2 linked regions of the Arabidopsis thaliana genome follow. The protein of the gene in region 2 binds, or shares a complex with, the protein of the main gene of each other region. Each region holds a gene or a part of one and is shown on either strand. Other genes may lie near its edges. The genes, in order: BUBR1 and AT2G20635.

Region 1 (3,923 bases), 5.3 Mb from region 2:
GTTAGATCTCTACCAAGTCATGATATAATATTTGTTTGGTGAATGAATCTTTAGGGGAATTTTTTTGCTTACTTTTTTATCTCACGGCCGCCATTAAGGGGCAGAACGTTTGATGATGATGAGATAGTTTCATCATTCTTCTTCTTTTCTTCTTCCTCTCTGCATTTCAGAATCATGTTAATGGTGGAAACATGTTTTGTTCAGAAAACTTCTGAAAAATTAGTCAAACTTACTCTGTACATTCTTCTTCATCGACAAAAACCTCAAAGGTGGAAGCAGATGCTGCTGCAACAGTTCTCACAATGGGTTTCTGAGGAACCTGTGACAATAAATATAAATGCAGTTAGTGATCAATTTATAGAGATAGTATGAGCCAAGTGAGATAGTTTTGTTTAGGAGGGTAGAGGGAAAACCTTGAATGATGCCCATTTTCTAGGTAAAGAATTGTTTTCTTTGTTCCTCTCTGCTCTGCCTCCAAGCATGAGCCAACTACCAAACTCTGGTCTTGACTTGTCTGACTCTGGTTGATTCCCTGATGTGGTGTCTGAAACTGCATCTGCGTAGATAGCAAAAGGTGTCTTGGATGATCTGCAAAAGACAAAGTTGCTTACCATAGTGAGTTGCAGAATAATTTAAAGGTATGAGTTGATAGAAAATGCAGATAATGAAAACAACGAGAAATATAGAACCAATCAAACTACTTACTGATTTGGCTTTAGCTTTTTGGCTTGTGGGTTAGAACTTCCTAACGCCTGCCTTCTTGCATCTACAGAAAACATTTTCATGTAAGATAGCTTACCAAAACATTTCAGTGGTTTCCAAGTTAAGTTAATGTGACTCACTATTATCTCCCCTGGACAATAAAGTGCCAAAGCTTCTTGACGGTAAGTCATTATTCTCCTTTGGTTCCTGCTGGTAGGTAGAACATTAATTATGATTAGGAAAAACCTTAGTCCATAATGAATAGATATAAAGTGTTACAAAGAGACAAAACTTTTTACTTCATCAGCTGTGTTGGACCTTCTCATCGTTCTCACCATAAACTTCTTGTACGCGTCATTCAACTTTTCCACTGGCTTTGCATCCCTGCACAAGTTCCCACTTTCAAATCAGACCAATAACTTGGAGCCGAAACATGAAAGTAAGATTACATATCTGTTCATTTACCTAGAGATTCCAAGATTGAAGATCTCATTAGCAGTTTTGACCTTATTCTTAAACTCAATGTGCAAAGCATAAGCTATATAGTAGACAGCATGTGTCTTTCCAATCTCATTGACCTCCAAAAACTTGTAAATCACTTCCGCATCAGCGCAATGCTCCGCCTTCAAAACACACACAAAAACTATGAGTACTCTCTCCATAACAAAGAAAGAATCATCTAGAGGGTTTAATTAAAGATAGAATCATTACATATTCCAACCAGACTTTAAGATAACGAAGATCATCCTTGTAACGTTCAGAGTGCCAAAATTTACGAACACATTGCTCATATATCACTAACAGTCCTGAACATTCTCCTCCTGGTGGAAAAGCCTCTTGTACCCATTTTATACACCTTCCAAAGAAACCAATTAAGAAGCTCAGTTTACAAATTGGTCACAGCATAAAGATTGGTTCAAGAAAAATTTCAATTTTTCAACAACCCAATCAAGAATGATAAAAGGAACTCACTCTATCCATGGAGATAAAGGGTCATCTCCTTCATACTCATCAATGGCTTCAATCAAATTCCTAATTCACAAAAACAACACAAAATTAGACAAGAATCGAGCGATTAGACTAAAACCCAAGAGCAAAGATGTGAGATTGAAATCAGTACCTGCGTTTCTCGATGAGATTCTTTCTCAATTGGTGGTCAGAGTGAGATTTGAGAGCGTGGTTGAGAATACCAACATTGCGACCTCTCTTCAATGGCCGGACGTTCTCCTTGAAAAGCTCCCACTCGTATCCAGTCTCCTGCTTCGAATTAAGAAACTCTGCCTCTGGATCTGAAACCTGAACCTTCGTTTCGGCTGCCATCGTCGTTTCTTCGAGCAAATTTTGAATATCAGAGAGAATATAGCCGTTAGTTTACTCAATGAGAGAGCTTCGCAACTTTTTGCTTTGATGTACGCATACTCGGAGCGTATAGACGCTTTTGATGGGCCTAACTTAGATGGGCCATGATTTGATTTCTTAAACCCATTAAGTGGCCATCTAAACCGAATTGTGTATACTCCTACTACAAATAATCGATAAGAGAAGAAAAATGACAATGAGCGAAAGTAAAATAGTAAAAGAAATGACAGAATACACTTCATTAATTCAATTGGCTGAACAAAATAACACAATAATCCAGAGAAAATTATTTTTACTGTTTTGTTTTCTTCTAAATTAGATGGTTTTGGTCTTTTGGAGAATAACAATCAAAGCAAAAGATAAAAGAGAAGATGTACTCTTTTTTTACCTTCTTTAAATAAATTACGAGCATAATTCACTTTTTGACTTGGAAGCTAAAAAAAAGTTCATCCACAACCACAAGATGCTCTCTGTCTGTCGGTTCAACAAGGGATGATCACATACATTGCGTTACACGCTAAACCTAGTGTGCTCAATTATGAATTCCTAAACAAAACGTACTCAAGATTAGAAGTTGTATACAAAGTCTGTTTTTCCATTGTAACAACTTCCACCGACAATAAAACAGTAACAGTTTATTGAAGAAAATGAAATGAAGAAAACATAATAAAAGAATTGATATTTATGGTATCCTTCAGTTTGGGAATGTGACACACATGATCTCCTTTATTGACGTTTAAGTTTGGAAAAAAAAACAAGTCTTTAAATGCATGCAATCGTATTCGCAATCAATATACATTTTGCTTGTTATTACTAAAGTCTAAAACTAAAAGCCTTTTGCCGTACGTTTAAGAATTCCATAACTGGAAGAACAAATCATGTTTTTAATTCAAATGTTTAAAACAAAGTCTACATTCAAAGGAATTTAGAACACACTTTTTTTTTTTACTTTTTGCTGGGAATTCACAAACTCTTTAACGAGTCTATTCACATTTCACCTTTCCGTGCCCAAACTCATTCGATTTCTCTAACCGAAACTAAATCATCACCAAAGAAGGTACACCGTTACGCCAACTTGCCCAAAGGACCATGTGTCCCCACCATGCTGCCAATTGGGAGCCAGCAATACATAAAACAGACTTGATCCAACTTTTTACAAGTTAGATGCAGTGTCTTTTTCGTAAATCATAATAGATCCAAGCCCATTCTCGTATAACCTCCACCACATCACTCCTCATATCATATGTGAGACAGCCACGAGTCTTCTAATTTCTACACGCCGTGTCGGCAAAGCCTCTCGTCACTTCTCTCTGACGCTTGTCGTCACTTTTGAATTTTTTTAATTTTTAAATAATTGATAACCGAAACGGTGCGTTTTACTCACCGTCGTCGGGAAAAAAAACATGAGGAAGGAAGTTTTGCCGCCGGTGTTATCAACCACCACAGTATGTTTCGAGAAGAAACCAATAATTGCTACATTACTAGCTCTCTCTCTCGTCATGATTGTCTGGAACCTTCCTCCTTACTACCACAACCTCATCTCCACCGCTCGTCCCTGCTCCGCCGTCACCACCACCACCACCACCACCTTACTCTCCTCATCGAACTTCACTTCGGCGGAGAATTTCACCACCTCTCTCTCAACGACAACTGCAGCAGCTTCTCAGAAGTACGATTCAACTCCCTCAGATCCGAACAAACGCGTTTTCCAACCGTTCGGAAACGCGGCGGCGTTATTCGTACTAATGGGAGCTTACCGCGGCGGTCCAACGACGTTTTCCGTTATCGGACTCGCGTCGAAACCGATCCACGTTTACGGAAAACCATGGTACAAGTGTGAGTGGATATCTAACAATGGAACT
Region 2 (3,923 bases):
GCCCTAAGTGACCATCAAAGATAGCAAACAAACCCAAATCATGGCCGTCTACTTTCTTGAACTCAGACACAACATAGTCCTCCATCGGATGGCCCGCTTTGCCTTTCACAAAGTCATAACCGTGTGCGATGTTCTTCCACACCTTGGTTTTACCTCTGCCTGTGTCAGATCCGCATAATCCAACCTTCAAATATTCACACCCAAACAACAAGAAATTATACTATTAGTTTCATTTTTAAAAAAAACTTTTTTACTACTCAATACATTATAATCATTTTATTCTTAAGCTAAAAACATAAGTTGACAAATAACAGCAAAATATAAGAAGAAAAAAAAAAGCAAATATGAAAATAAATGAGAAAGATAAATTATAAAATCAAGTTTGGTTTGATAAACAAAAAGAAATTCAAAGTTTAGACATTTAAAGAAAAACAAATGATTATTAGATCCACATAACCCTTTGTAAAGACTCAATTTCATGAATAAAATTCAGCTTGCAGAACAAAACAAACAAAAAAGATCTACATAATCCAACCTTTACCAATTCACACCAAAACACAATCACATTAATCCAAGTTCTGTAATTTCTTCATCAAGAGCAACATACATACATTTCATTATCACCAAATCTCTAACCAAAAAGAGAATATAGAAAATGCACAAATTACTGAAACAAATTCAGTAACACAAGCTCTAGAAGAATCAATATCATCGTTTAACATGCGAGATGCTAACTTCCTTAAAACGGCTCTACGTACAAGTTATCACAAAGAAACAAATATAGCTTAATGAGAAACAGAACAAGACATACAAGGATCAGATCACAAAATCAAGATTCTTTAGAGCCCTTGAAACGCTACTAAAGAAAAAAGAAAAAGACTAGCGTTGAGCTAAGCATACCTTCATCTTATGGAGAATCTCTCTGCCTGCCATTGTTACAAGAATTTGTTTCTCTGCCTTTGTGTCTGAAATATGAATGATTCTAAGAAAGAAAAACAGAGAGATGAGTTTATGTAATAAATATGAATGTGAGGTAATCAATCCACATGTGAACAGCCGGTGATTCTTATCATTATTGGCTACTGACTTCCTCCGCCGACGACTTTTCTTCTTTATATTTTTCTCAAGGCAAAAGTATTCCCTAAACAAATTCTCTCTATTATTATTTGCTACATTCTTTCACATTGCCGACAAAATAAAACATTACTTTTAAAATAAAAAACTGTTATTTCGTGCACATCATCTCATTCATTACATTATTGATCGGAAAAATATTTTTTTGTTATTACTTAAAATAACAAGACATTATTTTATCAGTTTTTCTAGTTACTCTGTCATGACAACATGTGCAACAAAGAAAGGAAACTTTATCTTAAAAATATTTTCAAACAAATTCGAACAAAATGACGTCGACAAAAAGAAATACGCGTGTAAAAGACAAACCACACGCAACAAAGGCGCGTTTAGCGCGTAAGACTAGAATCCGTGGACCTGAAGCGCGTGGGCCGGGATTTTCATTTGTCTTAACTGAAACAATGGGCCACATAATTAACAAAATAGGCCCATTTACACTTTTGGGTTATATAGAATATTTGCTCTGGTCCAACAAATTTTGAATTTCGAAAGTTAATTTTTTTTGAAAAGCTTCACTTCCCACTCTCTCTCTCTCTCTCTCTCTTCCTACGGCTGCGAAAATGACAATCGGTTACAGAGACGCCGCCGGAGACCCGCTCTTCCCGTGGCTTATGTAACTCATGCTTTATCCTTCCTTCTCATCTAACTAATTGTGCTATATGTGTCAAAATGGATTCTAATTTTCCGATGTTGTATTTTGGGGTTTTCACAGGGAGATTAAAAATTCGATGGAGGATCTATACGCTGGTAAAAATTCCGGATACGATCTCGATAAGCTTCTATTTGATTGTATCTCAACTTATAAGAAAGATTCTCGGTACCGAAATGACCTCAGATTCCTCAAGATCTGGTTTCTCTATGTAACTTTACTAAAACCCTCTCTCCCAACTTGTTTGAGCTTAAATTGTGCTTTTCTTTCCTCGATTGTTTGTTTGATTAGCATTCTTAGGGTTTGGGATTGTTATATTGCGAATCAACTGATGTAGATGTTACAGTTTGGGGGTTAAATTGTTGAATCTCTTCTTAGCTTGAAGGCAGGGAAGATTTTGAGAGGGTTTATAGAGAAATTGAAGAGACTGAGATATGTAAAGGGCATTCGTTGCTCTATGAATGGTATGCTATTTTTCTTGAGGTCAAAGGATTGTGGCGAAGAGCAAATTCTGTTTATCAGACTGGTCTTTCAAGGTCTCTTATCTTTCTCCTTGTTCTGTGGCTCCTTCCTTATCTTTTTCCTCTAGTTTGTGGTTTCATTTCTTATTTGTTTCTCATTGGAGAATTGTAGGAAAGCTGAACCATTTGACAGGTTAAAAGAGGCTCACTCATTGTTCTTACAAAGAATCTCTAAGAGGACCAAAGCATCTTCCCTTGAAAAGGTTTATTTTTTAATTTTAATGAGTAGCATATGGTTATTCTAATGCACTTTGATAGCTTTAGTTGAGGATTGAACGTTTTCTTTCTGGCAGGTTGGTGATGATGCTCAGGCCACTGACTTGGAGACGGGTTTTGTGAATCCATGGGAAACATCCACTGTGAACGGCTTAATTCACAAGATAAAACCACAGCTTGTGAAATATGATGTAAGGCTGATGGAAAATCATGATATTTTACATGATTTAACTTATATAGGGAGGCTTGTCCACTGAGTTTCTTTCTTTATGTTTGCATCAGGGGTACCATGTAAGCAACAAAGTTTTCCCTGGAAAGGCCAACCTGTCATCTTTGCAGAATTATTCCAGAAATAAGATCATTGAGATAGGTATACTTTTTTCATACCAATCTAGTCTGTCACCGCTACAGGATAAAGAATCCTTCTTTTTATTATAAGATGCATTTTTCAAATTAAAAGTGGCTGGGCATGTATTCATTTGTGTAAAAGAAATTGATTCCCGCTTTGTTCTCACCTGGGACAATATGTCTTCTCTGAGACTAAAATAAAAAAAGTGACCTGGATCCATTGGCTCTGTCTATTTGCTAGGTGGAAGAAAGTACCAGATGAAGGGCTGTGCTGGCCAAGGTGGTTTTGCTCAAGTGTTCAAAGCATTCATTGACAGCAATCCTGATGAAGTAGTTGCTCTAAAGGTAGATAGACCCTTAAAGTTTTTTCAAATACAGTATGATGCTAAATGCTCATATTGCATATACAAATCTCTTCACAGGTACAAAAACCACCTTTTCCTTGGGAATTCCACATGTATCGCCAACTTGATTGCAGGATCCCAGATAGCCAAGTATGCCCTTTTCCATTAATATTACCAGTTCACAGGTGTTTCACACCGTACTAATTACTCTCATGCTATGTTAGAGATCAAGTTTTGGATTGGCTCAGAGAGTGCACGTGTATTCAGACTACAGTATACTTGTCTGCGATTATTTATCACACGGGACACTCCAGGTAGGTGGTATCTTAGGACTCTCACGGACTGAATATACAAAATGCAAACATAGTTCTTTGCTTCATTTGCCTTCTTTTTGTGATTTAAGGACGTCATAAACTCGTATGTCGTTGTTGGAAAGTCCATGGAAGAAGTTTTGTGCATGTATTACACAATAGAAATGCTGAACATGCTGGAGACTTTGCACAGTGTTGGAATCATTCATGGTGATTTCAAGCCAGACAATCTGCTGATCCGATACCCTCCGTAAGTTTATTCCGCTCCAATATTGCTGATTAGATTGTAGATAAAGACTTTTTGGTCATGAAGCCATGTACTTGTATGTTAACGATCGTGGCAGAGACTGACATACCTCACGGATTACTTGCAGAGAAAACCTAACTGAGACAGGCTTTC

The links.
Region 1: AT2G20635 (region 2) and BUBR1 share a complex: the UniProt entries of both Arabidopsis thaliana proteins name them as parts of the mitotic checkpoint complex.

The regions. Positions count from the first base shown.
Region 1 is NC_003071.7:14,213,897-14,217,819, forward strand, and holds the start of BUBR1 (BUB1-related (BUB1: budding uninhibited by benzymidazol 1)), read right to left. Parts: upstream 2,159-3,923; 5' UTR 2,023-2,158; coding exon 1,823-2,022; intron 1,735-1,822; coding exon 1,675-1,734; intron 1,559-1,674; coding exon 1,414-1,558; intron 1,326-1,413; coding exon 1,168-1,325; intron 1,087-1,167; coding exon 1,002-1,086; intron 913-1,001; coding exon 843-912; intron 767-842; coding exon 706-766; intron 589-705; coding exon 414-588; intron 320-413; coding exon 234-319; intron 160-233; coding exon 73-159; intron 1-72. Other genes in the region: GALS1 (glycosyltransferase family protein (DUF23)), read left to right, coding at 3,465-3,923. UniProt on the Arabidopsis thaliana protein: Essential component of the mitotic checkpoint. Required for normal mitosis progression. The mitotic checkpoint delays anaphase until all chromosomes are properly attached to the mitotic spindle.
Region 2 is NC_003071.7:8,898,716-8,902,638, forward strand, and holds the start of AT2G20635 (protein kinase and Mad3-BUB1-I domain-containing protein), read left to right. Parts: upstream 1-1,644; 5' UTR 1,645-1,694; coding exon 1,695-1,747; intron 1,748-1,846; coding exon 1,847-1,994; intron 1,995-2,161; coding exon 2,162-2,319; intron 2,320-2,416; coding exon 2,417-2,507; intron 2,508-2,597; coding exon 2,598-2,711; intron 2,712-2,802; coding exon 2,803-2,890; intron 2,891-3,109; coding exon 3,110-3,213; intron 3,214-3,290; coding exon 3,291-3,362; intron 3,363-3,436; coding exon 3,437-3,526; intron 3,527-3,615; coding exon 3,616-3,773; intron 3,774-3,897; coding exon 3,898-3,923. Other genes in the region: PIA1 (PP2C induced by AVRRPM1), read right to left, coding at 1-184, 901-933. UniProt on the Arabidopsis thaliana protein: Serine/threonine-protein kinase that performs 2 crucial functions during mitosis: it is essential for spindle-assembly checkpoint signaling and for correct chromosome alignment. Has a key role in the assembly of checkpoint proteins at the kinetochore.